Linked DNA regions of Rhinolophus ferrumequinum. The protein of the gene in region 1 binds, or shares a complex with, the protein of each later gene. Links are inferred from orthologs where the notes say so. Each region holds a gene or a part of one and is shown in the gene's direction. Other genes may lie near its edges.

What was found. Proteins that work in one complex are often made in the same cells at the same time.
Region 2: the proteins of POLA1 (region 1) and PRIM1 are in contact, whole or in part, in a cryo-EM structure (PDB 7OPL), measured with the Homo sapiens proteins. The link is inferred for Rhinolophus ferrumequinum from reciprocal best matches to the Homo sapiens genes POLA1 and PRIM1. Residues at the interface, in NP_058633.2 of Homo sapiens: Tyr439, Ala440, Pro447, Glu448, Lys449, Ser450, Phe876, Thr877, Thr878, Gln880, Leu906; in NP_000937.1 of Homo sapiens: Asn92, Thr93, Val94, Lys95, Leu96, Gly97, Ala98.

Annotation. Positions count from the first base shown.
Region 1 is NC_046284.1:107,388,175-107,395,120, reverse strand, and holds the start of POLA1 (DNA polymerase alpha catalytic subunit), read left to right. Parts: upstream 1-3,925; 5' UTR 3,926-4,082; coding exon 4,083-4,107; intron 4,108-6,946. UniProt on the Homo sapiens protein: Catalytic subunit of the DNA polymerase alpha complex (also known as the alpha DNA polymerase-primase complex) which plays an essential role in the initiation of DNA synthesis.
Region 2 is NC_046293.1:55,924,777-55,932,396, reverse strand, and holds the start of PRIM1 (DNA primase small subunit), read left to right. Parts: upstream 1-4,610; 5' UTR 4,611-4,675; coding exon 4,676-4,778; intron 4,779-5,385; coding exon 5,386-5,543; intron 5,544-7,620. UniProt on the Homo sapiens protein: Catalytic subunit of the DNA primase complex and component of the DNA polymerase alpha complex (also known as the alpha DNA polymerase-primase complex - primosome/replisome) which play an essential role in the initiation of DNA synthesis.

The DNA of each region.
Region 1 (6,946 bases):
GTGTTGTTTAGATCTTGTCCATTTATTTAATATCAAAAGATGGAGGCCTGTTTAATGATTGTGAATTTTTTTCACTGTTTTAGATTATTACCATTCTTGAGAGATTATTCCACTGTAGCAAATTAAATGCTGTTTACTATGCATTCACATTTTTTCTTTTAAAGAGCAGCTTTCAAATAACTTCTCATTATACGAATGGTTTTTTTAAAAAAAGCTGTTAAAATGTACGCACACATGTGCGTGCACATATGTGTGCACGCACACACACACACACACACACAAATACAGTGAAGGTGAAATAAAAACTTTCTCAGACAAAGACTGAGAGATTTCACTGCCAGGAGACATGCCCTGTAAGAAATGTTAAAAGAAGTTCTTCAGGCAGAAGGAAAATGATACAGGTCAGAAACTGGGATCTACATAAAGAAGAGCATCAGAGAAGGTATATATGAAAGTAAAATAATTTTTTTCTTCTTATGAAGATAGCTTTGTTGGAAACAAAGCAGTAAAAACGTATTGGGTGATTATAGTGTATGGATAAGTAAAATGAATGACAGCAATGTCACAAGGGATGAGAGGAAGGAATTGGGAATACTCAGTTATAAGGTACCTGCACCACACATGAAGCAGTACAATGTTATCTGGAGGTGGACTTAGATTATTTTTCAATGTATATTGTAAACTCTAGGTAAATCATTAAAAAGTTTTTAAGAAAGAAGTATAAATGATATGCCAAGAGGAGATAAAATGTAATAATATAAAATGCTTCATAAAAACCAAACCAGAGAAGTAGAACTGAGAGAAACAAAGAACAAATGCAGAAAAACAGTTGCAAATGGCCAATAGTCACTAAAAAGACTCAACATCATTAATCATCAGGGAAGTGCAAGAGATAATAAAAACTGCTAGTGCTGCCGAGGATGCAGAACAACTGAATCTCTCATACTCTGCTGGTGGGAATGTAAAATTGCACACAGTCACTTTGGAAAAACAGTTTGGCAGTTTATTTTAAAGTTAGACATATACTTACCTCATGACACAGCAATTCCACTCCTAAGTATTTACCCCAGAGAAATGAAACATGTCCATACAAAGACCTGTTCACAAAATTACAGAAATGGAGAACAGATTAGTGGTTGCCAATGGTTAAGGATGGGGTGGGGGTAGAGGGTTGAGCAGGAGGGGAGCAGGTGTGACTGTATAAGGGCAACATAAGGGATCCTTAGAGATGGAAGTGTACTGTATCTTGACTGTATCCATGTCAATGTCCTGGTTGTGATATGGTACTATAGTTTTGCAAGATGTTACCATTGGGAGATACTGGGTAAAGGATACATGGGATTTTTCTGTATTATTTCTCATAACTGAATGTGAATTTACAACTATCTCAAAATTAAAAGCTTAATTGAAAATGTAAGGCAGACTACAACATATAAAAAAACAAACAAATATTAACATGAATTTTTAGAAACATACTCAATGTATTAAAGAGGTACAAATAGATATAACATAGTGAGTCATCATGTGTAGCTAGCCATTGATTATGCCAATCGAGGCAAATGAAAGTAAAGATCAATTAAGACATAACCTTTGTTTTTGATCTAAGAATAACATATATGTTTTGGAAAGCCTCAGATTTATACACACATACATAACTTTTCAGCAGGCTTACCTAGCTAGTAATGTGTGATCTAGGAGATATGCTCCCCTCCCCCACTTTTGAACACCTTTTGTTTCCAGGATGATCTTTTAAAGTACTGCTGGCCTTACATAAGTGTCTTTTAGGTAACCCAGATATCATCCCATTCATAGGAAGACACAGTACTAAATGCTCTAAGACATTATAGAGTGAAAGTCTTTAGAATAGGTGGGAGATGAGCTCTCCTTCCTGATGAAAAAAGATGTGTCCAGGCATATGTGACCACATATTGTTCGACTGGATATTTATGTCTGGGTTATGCATCCTGCTGATGATTCTAAGGTTTAGCAATACCTTGTCTAGACTCTTTGTTCTAGACTTTGGCTGCACATTGGAATCCCATCATCAGAAATTCTGATTTAATAGGTCCGGAAGGGCACTGGAAACTTTGAAAAACTGCTCAGATAATTCTAATTTGTAGTCAAAGTTGAGAATCAATGTTCTAACCTTATAAAACTACTACTGTAAACTTTATAAACTTTAAGGCCTATAAACTACTACTGTAAACTTTATAAACTTTAAGGATAAAGTAAGAAATCCTCATGCTGCCATCCTCTGCTAAAATTCACTATTGATTGACTATATGATTGATGTTCTAGCTCATAATTCTTAACTTTGCTCCAATACCTTTAATAATTCCCAGATGAATTCTGGTTTTCCATTCCCAAGTGTTAGTTCATGCAGCTGGTTGAGTAGGTTCTGAAGCATTAGTATAGCTACTTGTCTTTGGGGCAAGTTTTATTCACTATGACATTGCATATTTTTGCTATGATCCAGGGCTCAGTTATCACAAAAGATTTGCCCATTGGTCTATAATTCATGATGAATCACTTGAGGGCATGGATCTAATATTGCTCTCTAGGGGTATGGAGCCAAAAGCATTATGCACTAGTGGGTTTGAGAAAAGGGTTCAGATGCATTGGCCTCCACGGCTAAAATTAATTCTACATAAAATGGTACTCAGATGGTTCTCACTTTAAGTTCTTGGTTTAATACGTGTTCTTTAGTTAAGATATACATACCGATGTCTCTGTTCTTATTGTTTGTTAAACAATAAATGAGACGCATACATTGCATGCTTTGTACTATGTACAAGAATCTAACACCCTTTTTGTCTTTCATAACATTGACTTTTGCAGGAGTACAGGCCAGATGTTTTATAGATAGTCCTACACTTTGAATACATCTCATGTCTTCATGGGTAGGTAGGTTCAGGTTAAACATTTTTTTGCACGAAGACTATATAGGTGATGTTCCTTTTTCTAAGTGCATCACATCAAGAGGTATATGATTGCCCCTTATTGATTGGTGATGCTACTTTTGGTCATTTGGTTAGTATGGTGCATATAGCTTTATGTGGTCAGTGTGTGTGTGTGTGTGTGTGTGTGTGTGTGTGTGTAGAGGGTGCCAAAAAAATGTATACACACTTTAAGAAAGGAAAAAAAACTATATTAATTGTAATACTCAATATATATTGTTAACAAAAGATGAATACAAATCACGTTTGACTTCTGCAATTACAAGAGGTGCTCACAGTGGTTACCATCAGTGTCCAGACACTTCTGATTACAGCGAACTTCTGCTTGAGCATAGATAACATCTCTTAAAATGTGTATATATATATTGGCACCCCTGGTATATATGTATATAAAGAGGGTGCCAAAAAAATGTATACACATTTTAAGAAAGGAAAAAACTGTTAAAATTACGATAATTGAGTACCTCTTGTAATTGCAGAAGTCAAACGTGACTTGTTTTCATCTTTTGTTACCGGTGTGTATTGAGTACTACAATTTTAATACAGCTTTTTTCCTGTCTTAAAATATGTATACTTTTTTGGATATCTATCTATATCTGTATCTATCTATCTATAATATATGTATTATACAGCGACTGTGTCCACACTCTGACACAGTATCAGGCCAGACTCTGTGCTGCAGGATGCAGTCGCTTTCCCAGGGTCCTGGGAAACCGGTCCAACCACGTCCAGCCTACTGCCAGCCCGCATCTCTTTTCCCGGCAAATCATCTCTCAGAACCAAAGAGCCCCTACTCCAACGCACTCAAATCTTTTCCCATCAGCACAGGTGCGCCTGCGCAGCGAGTCTCCAGAAGGCCCCTTTCCAGCGCCCGACCGCTTCTTTTTCCTGTTCCCTTCGGCCTCCGCTCAGCTGGTGCTTTTCCCTTAGGGTTAATCACACGGCGCGAAACGCGCGCCCGCGGGAAGGCCGAGGGCGGGGCACGACGCGGCGCTACACGTCAGTGGCCTTCCGGACGGAAGTCCGCAGCCTTCGGAGCCGCTGATTGGCTTTCAGGCTGGCGCCTGTCTCGGCCCCCGCGCCAGTTTTGGGCTGGTTGGCGCGGAATCGGGAGACTCCGGGACCATGGCGCCCGTGCACGGCGATGACTGTGAGCTGGGGGTGCTCGGGGTCGGGTTGGGAATGTGGGGTCGGGGACTGTGGAGTGATTGCAGGTGTGGGGACTCGAGGGTGGGTCTCTGTTTTATTTTTCCTTAGGCGCTCTGCCGAATCGCCCTGCGGGTGTTCTTGGGCGCGGACCTTGGTCTTCCAGAGCTGGACGTACTGGCGTCAGATGGGGCTTCCTTGCAGGGCCCTTTGCTCCTGGCAACCCCACTGCGGGGCTTTTTGTCTGGGACGTTCCGTCACCTCTGTCACTCTGGGTCTCCACACTAGCGTGCCTTTCTTTTTATTCCTTTTGGTTTATCGCGTCCCACGTGCTGGGCACACCTATATCGAGACTGGCCCCCGCGGGGTACAGTCTTGGCCGAAAGTATTTCATATTGCCGCCCCAAGTATGCTTGAGGGCTAGGACAGAAGTACGCCATCCCTTTTATAGAAACTGCCTGGAAAATTGTTTTATGTTGTAACTAAGCAGAAAAGAAAGCTCAAGTGCTGTAGCCAGAAGATACAAATGCAATTTTTCATTTTTATTTTTTTTGCAATTTGTCTTTTTAGGTACTTGGTTTCTACTTTATGCATTAACAATTTTCTTTCAAATTCTATGGAAAGTTCTTCAAGTATTGCACAGAAATAGTGTTCACAATCTAGTCATTTCTGGTGAGGCTTCTGAAAAAATGCATCAGTTCAGCAGCATTTTGGATGCCCTGTATCACTCCGTTTTCAGTGGTAATCTTTTATTTCCAAAAATAGAATACAAAACACGCAAATGGCTTTGTCTGATTTCTGATTTTTTGAACAGCGTTCAACTAAAGTGTGACTTAACTTCATCAAACTTCTAACTTAAAATCATGCTGCGCTTTTTTGCTCAAGTGTCACATTTCCTGTCACTCAAATACCTCACCATTAATGAGAACTTTCTTCCTAATCAGCTTTCTTTACATTCACCTAGTTGTGAATCAGATTTCAATTTGTTCTTCTAGCCTTGCGTTTTTTAAGACAATTTATTTTGGAGAATCGACTAGCGTGGATTACAAATGGGATGTAGGATGTGAGTATGTGAACAGTCTTTGCAGCCCTGATTTGCCACTGAGCCGTTTCTTCACCCTAAAAACTGTATGACATCTGTGAGCATCAAGAAATCACTCTTTGGAGGATACCGTGCAATCTTGAGACCCCTCTTAAGTCATGGTGTTGATTAAGTGTTGCTGGGGAGTTGTGACTGGAATTTTTTCTTTAGAGCAGACTGAAAGATTGTTACCTGAAAGATTGTTGCTGCCTGGTAGTGTTGGTCTGCTCCTTTCCAGCTCCCAACCAATGGGGCTACTCCAGATGGTAATTTTGAACCAAATATTTAAACTTTTGTAAGTTGATTTTTTCATGCTTCTTCTTTTTTGCTAACTTACCTATGTGAAGCATATTCCAAAAAAGGAAAATCTAGGCCATTTTTCCTCCTTAAGTATTAGAGGGTGGGGGTACCTTGACAGTGGCAGTGAAAAGTTGAAAGGTCTTATTATAACTTGCTGTTATTATATATGAAACAAGATCAGGGAGAATTTAATGATTAAATAAAGCAGGTACAGTGGTTCATTCAGCAAATATTTATTAGGTACCTGCTAGGCGTAGGCATTCTGCCAGGCTCTGGTGTTACAATGGTAAGTAAGATGGACATGCTTTTTGTCTTCATGGAGCTAAGATAGGAATTATATGCAGTGTTATATTGGTGCTTCCCTGAGAAAGCTGCTTTGCTTTATTTGCTTTCTAGAAGCTAGACCACAGTACTACTAGGGTGTGTGTGTGTGTGTGTACACGTGTACCCTGTATCTACACACACATTAAATTAGCTTCTCTTATGTTGCTGAAGCGGACCTGATTATCCCCATTTCACAGATGAGGACCTTGAGGATCCTCTAGCTATAGGAACCAACTCTAGCTGATTTAAACAGAAAAGGAATTTACTAGAAGGATATTGTGTTGTTCACAGAAACTCTAGGAGGACGGGAGAGCCAGCTGGTGGCTGCTCAGCCAGGAATAGTGATTAAAATCCTGCCACAAAACTGGTTCAGTGAGGAGGTCATTGCCAACCATAGCCAAGTACTTGAGGTTATAGCTGTAGTTAACATTGCTGGCACTGTTGCCCCAGGTACTTAATCCTCTTGCAGCTGTTGCTACTTCTAGAATCTTCCCTCAGCCCGCCCTTTTCCTTGTGACACTAGCTTCCAACTTCAAGTCTGAGCAGACGTTCCTATTGGTAGAGCCTATTTTATATGCCCATGCCCTAGCTGTGAGGGTGTCTGGGAAACAGCGGTTCCCTTTTCAGCTTCTGTAATAGGACATGGGCTTTGTGTCCCATCAGACTTCTAAGGGGGAAATTTCACAAACAAGTTCAGATGCTGGACAGCTTAAAACAAGAAGACAGCTGGCCACTGCAGCTCAGAGAGGTTAACTGGTGTTCTCATTGTCACCCAGTAAGTGGCAGAGCTGTCTTGTGCTCTTCTCCCTAACCTCATTCTCCCACTCATTCTACACTGTCATCATATCTTACCTTCCACACTGACTTTCTCTCAGTTTCTGAATACACCTTGCCTTTTTGTCATTTTAATCTGGCCATTGTAATCTGGCTCATACCTTTTCTTCTGCTTGTGCCACTTTTTACCCTGTACTCTGAAATTCTACTCCTCTTCCTGGGTCTGTGTTGGAAACCTTTCCTGTGAAGCCTTCCCTGATTTCCCAGGCAAAATTAACAGCTCTCTTTTCTACATTTCCTCAGTATCATGTTCTGACCTTTTATATGGCACCCTGTTTATATGATGGTGGGAGCCTCAGGTGCT
Region 2 (7,620 bases), on another chromosome or scaffold:
AAACAAGTGCAAGTCCAGAGAAACAAACAAGAGGACCGCTCTTTTATGGAAGGGCTGTTGTAAACAGTCCAGTGGAGGAAACTGAAAGTTCGAAGTATAGTGACTTTTCACTGACTGAATTATGGCAGGCAGTCTCCTAGTGGTTGAGCTGTTACTGGACAAGGAGAAATCTTCCTTCTTCTGAGGTAGTAATGTAGTATCGCTTCCTGTTGAAGATGCAAGGTAAGTCTCTTCCTGTTGGGATCAGTAGTGTGTGTTGGGTGACATGTGTGAGTTCTCTCTTCTAGCTTCCTGAGGTTTGTGTTTATTAATTTTCACACAACTCACCTTTCCAAAGTGTACAATTCAGTGGGTTTTAGTATATTCACAGAATACGTAGTTTCAGAATACTTTCAGCACCCCCAGAAAGAAACCCCATAGTCCTTAGCAGTCACCATTCTCCCCTCCCCCTACCCCCTGGCAACCACTAATCTACTTTCTATGGCTACAGATTGCCTGTTCTGGACATTTCACATGTGACTAACTGGCTTCTTTCACTTAGTATGTTTTCAAGGTTCATCCATATTGTAGCATATTATCAGTATGCAATATTGTGATTTATAAGAAATATGTATGTGGTCATTTGGATGAATGGGCTATGGAAGAAACCTTAGAGGATATTACAGCAGTAACTCAAACTCAACTTTTCAAACTGAAGTAATGATGAGTCACTGTAATCTGATCCTCTTTATTTTCATGTTATTTCCTATCCCTACATGTATTCAACAAACACTCAACAAATTTAATGAGTGCCCACTAGGTACTAGACAACCCCCTTCCATCCAGTTGCCCAAGCCTAAAACCTGGGAAATCATCCTAGACCACTTTCTCATTCCCTACATCTAATTGATATTAAGTCTATCTCAACTAATCCCCTCCATCTCCACTTTACTGCCTTAGTTCAGGCCACGAATCCTTGTCAGCTGGATCCCAGCAAAAATTTCCTGGGATTTCTCTACCTCTGATTGCTCTCTCCCCTTCTATTTGCCCTCCACAGGGCTCCAGAGATATTTATAAAACACGACTTTGATTATGTTTCTCCCCTGCTTAAAAAAAGCCTTGCAAGACTCCCCACTGTCTTCAGTAAATCCAAATTCCTGTGGAAGAACAAGGTTTGATGTTGTGTTTTGATATGAACCTGCAATCCTTTATTTTAAGCAGTCTGCAAGGAGAAAGCTAGACCCAAAGAGTATGTAGTTTTATGACTACCAAGAGTCTCTCAAGAGAACCTATACAATATGTATATTAGCAAGTTACTAATCAAAAATCTGGTGTGTTAATTGATAGCTTAGGTGAAAAAATTCAATTTCATATATTGAATTTATTATATAGATTAAAGAACAATTGCAAAAAAAATAAAAAAATAAAAAAAGAACAATTGCAATGTACTATAACATATGTGTTATCAGCTTTGTGGTCATCATTTGCTTTGTAGTTAAAAGAAACATTTCTATGAGATTAAACTAAAACTTTGTCATTAAACATATATAAAGGTACTCTTTATTACTTTTTAGTAGTTTATGATAACAAGAGACAGAACGTATCATAATTAAACTTAAATATGACATTGGCCCCACCTAGATAGTCTCCCTTTGTTTATTATGTTCTTGTGTCAACAGAACACATTCTCTAATCTTCTCTTTTCTTATTGAGAAGGAAAATAACTAGCACAAGAGTACTGCAAATTTCCAATGTACTTGTTTCAACAAGATTATTTACTCCCAAGGCTTCTCATGAAATATTAACATGATCAATATTTTATTTTAATTTAACCCAAGCAGAATAAAAATGGAAGATGAATAATTTTTATTTCCATACTCCTTAGCTTGGCATGCAATGCTCTGGCCATGGCTTGCAGTTTCCTGAAAGTGCCATGCCACTTACACTTGTGTGACTGTGGTCCCTGTGCCAATCTTATTCAAGTCTTCAGGAAAATGCTGGTGCCCAAAAACACTTGCATTATAAATGCATCTATAACACTTCATTACACTTTGTGATTTGTGTCTATTGCCCCTACTGGACTATAACTTTCTCAGAAGCAGAAATCATGTCATTAATTTTTTTCTCTCCAGAGCCCAGCTAAGTGCCCAACACAAATGTTCATTAATTGTGGAATAAGTGAATGAGTTAAAAGATGACTGAAAGAACCATATCTTTACAGAATAGATAATCTTTTCACATGCTAAAAACATCCATAATAACAATAGGAGTTGCACTGGAAGGGAAGTCCATTGGGTAAGAGTCTAAGTTTGCAAAGAACTTAGGGAGAGAGACCTAGGGCTGATAGATTACTTAAAGAGGATGCTCGTAGACATAAGTAGTAAATGTAAAGAGGATGGTAAAAAGTGTAAGACTTGAAGGACAAAGGGGTTTTGCACCTACTAAGTGGATGAAGCACAAGGGGAAACCAACTGAATGGCAATACTGCCTCTTAGTGGCACTTGGGATAAAAGCCTCTATAGCAGAGCACTTTTACAGAATAGCTTTCTCACATTGAGTGGTTCTGGGCCAAGAATTCTGCTAGGCACCTCTTATTTTATCTCATTTAACCCTCACAACAACCCCTTGTAGACACACAGTATGTAGCTTGGGGGTTAAACTCTGGAGCCAAGCTGTCTGACTTTCCTACTTACTACCGTGTTTCCCCGAAAAATAAGCCCTAACCGGAAAATAAGCCCTGGCATGATTTTTCAGGATGACATCCCCTGAACATAAGCCCATATGCGTCTTTTGGAGCAAAAATTAATATAAGACCCAGTCTTAATTTCTGGGGAACATGGTAGCTGTGTGACCTTGGACAGATTACTTCAGTTCTCTGCATATTTCCCTATCTGTAAAATAGGGATAATATTTGTACCTACCACACAGGGTTCTTATGAGGAATAAATTCTTAAAATGGTACTTGACAGCATAATAAATGTTAGCCTTTATTATTCCTTTTTTCCTGATGAGAAAATTAATGTTAAATAAATCGAGCATACCGTAGTAATTCAATTAATATAACTTCCTTTGCTTTCTCCCCTTATGTTTTAGCTCTTTAAGGTGTTATTCTCCGTAGTGTTCCTGAAACTTAAATAGGGGACTCCCAAATAGCACAAAGAAGTCAGTTCTTAAAGGCAGCAATGAGGAAGTTGAGAAACCTCCTTTAAAAAGTCCAAGGGGATGTGGTTCTGGAAAAGAGAGCTCTACAGGGCCCTCTTGTTAGTTTTATTATAGTGAAGACCTTCCCAGCAATGAAATTCACCTTACCTAAAACAGGATGCATAGGGATTGTGAAAATCAACTAAGATTTGTGCAGGAAGCCAGATTTCTGGGAATATTCAAAATAAGTGTGATCTGCCCAGAGCCCATCTTTTACCATGTTGCCCATAGGAGCTGAGGGACTATAATCATTTTCAAGAATAGGCTAATAATAACTTACTACAGACTATTCTCTCCTTGCTCTCCTACTATTATTGTAAAAACAAAATTCATGAAAATGATGGGTTTCAAGTGACACAATACGAATGGGATTACTATCAGACTGTCCATCCCACTCCACACTTGCAATGAGGTGTATCTTTACCAGGTAAGACTGACTGACAGATCTGTACATCAATAGCAAACAGGCTCCTTTCATACTTGCAAAGCTCCCATGATTCTGTAAGCTACCTCTAATTCAAATTTTAGTATTCCTGGGTGTTCTATTTGAGAGACTGAATATACAAACAATGGCCAGACCATATATAAAAACAGAACACTGACCCACAACCTGCAAAAGCCTACCCAGAAAACCAACTGCTTTATCTATAATAAACAGCCCAGGAAGCCAGCTTGCTATAAATCAGACCGCTGTCTCTAGTGATAGTCCAGAAAGCCAAACAATAACCTCTGTAACAACTGGTCCCAAATGGCCAGCACTTGATTAATAACTAGCAGCTTCTCTAATTTTTGTCCCCACTTCCAACTTAGGGCCAAACGGAGAAGGTCAAATATGAACCCCTAACCAAATCTCATGGACGCCCTGCTGCTAGTTAGACCACCTACAGCTTCCCCAAGCAAACAGTCTTGAACTAGGTCACACCTGAAACCTTTCCCTTTTTCTGCCGTAAAGCTTTCCCACTCCTATGCCTGCCTTTGAGTCTTCTGCCAAAACGCAAGTGACGGTGGCTGACTCCCTTGCTATATAACAAACTCTGAATAAATACCCTTTGCTTTTCTCATTTGATGAGAAATATTTCTACATAGTAATGGACCTAGTAATACCATGAAGAAATAAATTCCAAACCCTCTTAAAAAGATACCGGTTTACACTGTTTAAATGTGTTATTTCTAAAACATTCAAAATTAGCGAACATCGTTTATACTTCATCTTCATATGCTCAAGAGTTCATCTTTCCACAGATCTTCGTGGAATCGGCGCAGCCTCCTTTGGCCCACCTGAGCAGTGGACCCTCAGTCGGAGAGGGTGAGCAGAGACCCCCGGGAGAGCCTCCCGCGCCAAGCTTTTAAATCCCCAATTGGGAACTACAATTCCCAGTGACCCCTGCAGACGATGGGTCACGGCCACGTTGCGCCTGCGCAGTGTCGAAAGCGCCGGCTGTGCGGTTCCCGCCAATTCTTGCGGTAATCCTGCCGGGGCTGAGTACTGTGCTCCATGGAGGCGTTTGATCCCGCGGAGCTGCCGGAGCTGCTTAAGCTTTATTACCGGAGGCTTTTTCCCTACTCCCAGTACTATCGCTGGCTCAACTATGGCGGAGGTGATGGAGGCGGGTAGCGGAATGAGTAGTAGGTCGGGAGGGGAATATGAAGAGGGTACTTTGGAATGACAATATGAAGTGCCTTCTGCGCGCCAGCCTTTGGGCAGGGCTCCTTCACTTATTATCTCTAGCCCTCCCCACCACCTCTGAGGTTTAAATGGGCCAAGAGAGGATATAATGACCAGGCCACACGTTGAAAGACAGAGCCGTTGCTCCTACCACTACGTGGTCGGACACATTTGGTGTCTGGTGTACCTGACTGGTCGTAGGATGAAGCTGCAGAGGCGTGATCTGCATCAGGGACCGAAGGGTATCTCCGAGAGGGAAAGAGGTACTTAACTCTTCGCTGCTGAATTTATTACTGCCCACCGAGGAGAGAGGTGGCATTACATATTTATTTCTGCATCTTTTTTCTCATTTTTTACCTTTCCCTCTGAGATGCCCTGTAGTAAGCCCCTTCAAATGAGGGACTACATTTTTTTTTTTCATGTAGCACAGTGTTGGGCACAGAGGGCTCATTAAAAATATCTTCTCATCGGTTAATGTTATGATGCCCTGAGCTGAATGAAGTACCAAATTAACTTTAAAATGTACGTTTATTTTGCAGTAATAAAGAATTACTTTCAACACCGTGAATTTTCATTCACGTTGAAAGATGATATTTACATTCGCTACCAATCCTTCAACAACCAGAATGATCTGGAAAAGGAGATGCAGAAAATGAATCCATATAAGATTGATATAGGCGCGGTATATTCTCACAGAGTAAGAAATCGTTTTGTTATGTATTTTGTTTTGTTTTGTTACACCAAGAACCCCTAGCGTTTTGAGACAAAATTTTTAGAGTTTATTCTCGTTGAAGAGCCACAGTTTATTTAACTGTTTTATTTAACTGTTTTGCAAGTAGATTGTAATATTTTTTATTCTTGGACACTCTACATTACCGACTAGAAATCATTGAATTGGCTGTATTCTCACGAAATCAGTGAATTGGTTGTATTCTCACTAAGACAAAAAAAAAATGAGTATCTGGATAAAAGACTAAATGAGGAAGTCATCATGATTTAAGGGCAGGGAATTGAAAGAAAATTACATTCTCCCAGCATTGGAGTTATTCTTTATTCCTGTCCTACTCCTATATCTGTTCTATTAGGAAATCTCTACCATAATAATATCTACAATCCAACCACTGCTCCCAGTGCTACTACCATCATCATCACCTCTCATCTGAATTACTGGAAAAACTTCCTAACAATTTGCTTCTATAGACTCTAGAGCCTATTTTCTCAAAACAGCAGTCAGAATGATCCTTTTAAAACAAGTCAGATTCTGTGATTCCTGTGCTCAAAACCATTCTCCAGTGGCTCCCCATTTCACTCAAAGTAAAAGCCCCTCACCCCCTCACTCACTCCGCTCCTGCCACATTGGCCCTTGTTCAAGCAGTTTCACTTCCTAGAACCCATTTCCCTAGATATCTTGGTTCATTCCCTCACCTCCTTACAGTCCTTACTCAGAGAGGCCTACTGCAACCGCCACTCCTACCCCCAGCCACTGATACAGTCTTAGTGCCTAGAATAGTGCTTGGCAGAGAGAGTACACCATAAATATTTGTTGAATGAATGAACGTACCAAAATTGCCCTTTTTCCTCTCCTTAAAGATGTACACGAGATAATAGCTTTTGTGTGGAGCTTTTTCATGTGTTATATAACTGGTTTTTCATATCAATTCTCTATTCATTTTACAAAGAGGAAACAAGTTTGGAGAGCTTAATTTGCCTTAGGTCACACAATTTCTAAATGATAGACCTAGCACCTGAACCAGGTTTTTTGACTCTAAATCCCCGGGGAAGGGGAAAAAGAGATAAGAAAAAGCAGGCAGGAAAAATCCTTTGGAGCAGTTTACTGGTCTTTAGAGGTGAATATTAAAACTGAAGTCTCTAGAAAGGCCAGGGTGTCACTCTACTCCTCCCCAACACTGGGAAATGCCTCACTTTTTTACTGGGCCAAGCCAGAGGTATCTATAGACCTTTCTCTTTTTGTATTTTGTTTGTGATTTTTATGAGTTATGTATGCACATAATTTACAAAATCAAGTATGTCTATTCATTGGGCTTTTTACTTAAAAAAAAAAGTTCTCTTACTCTTCCTCGTTTCTGCTCCCCAGAGGCAATCGCTTTTGTTTAGCTGATTCTTACCCAGAGGCAATCACTTTCTTTTAGCTGATTCTTCAGGTATTTGTCTCCTTGTCTTTAAATAACGTGCTTATATGTCTTCTGTTTTTCCATTTCAAGCATTATCTACTGACTTTCCATTCTAGCAGATGTGGATTTAGCTTTATTTTTAACCTTATCCCTACCCTCACCTCACATACAACCTTCCCATTCCCATGCTCCTGTTTGTTCGATTAAAAATTAGGGTTAGATCACAAATTCAACCCCAAACTCTTTGCCAGTTGTCTAACTCTTCCTGATTTAGACACCCATCAAGTAGTTTGTAAATCTAATTCTGAAGGAATTTCTCCCCTTCCGATTACCAAACTGGACTGATTGCTTTTTAAGTCTGATGGGTAAGTACAGTATGATCTTATAATCATCTTGGTTTCTTTTCACCTCTCTATGATCCCCAGTTGCCCAGATCCTACGTTCTCTTTTTTGGTTTACTCTTTTGTTTTGGTGGAGCACATTTTCCGGGAGCTTCCTGAGAAAGGGCATATGGAAGACAAAATATTTCATACTTTCTGCATCTGGAAAATGTCTTCATTCTACCTTTATGCTTAACTAATGGTTTGTAAATCATTTTCCTTGAGAATTTTAGAGATTGCTACATTATCTTGTTTCCAGTGT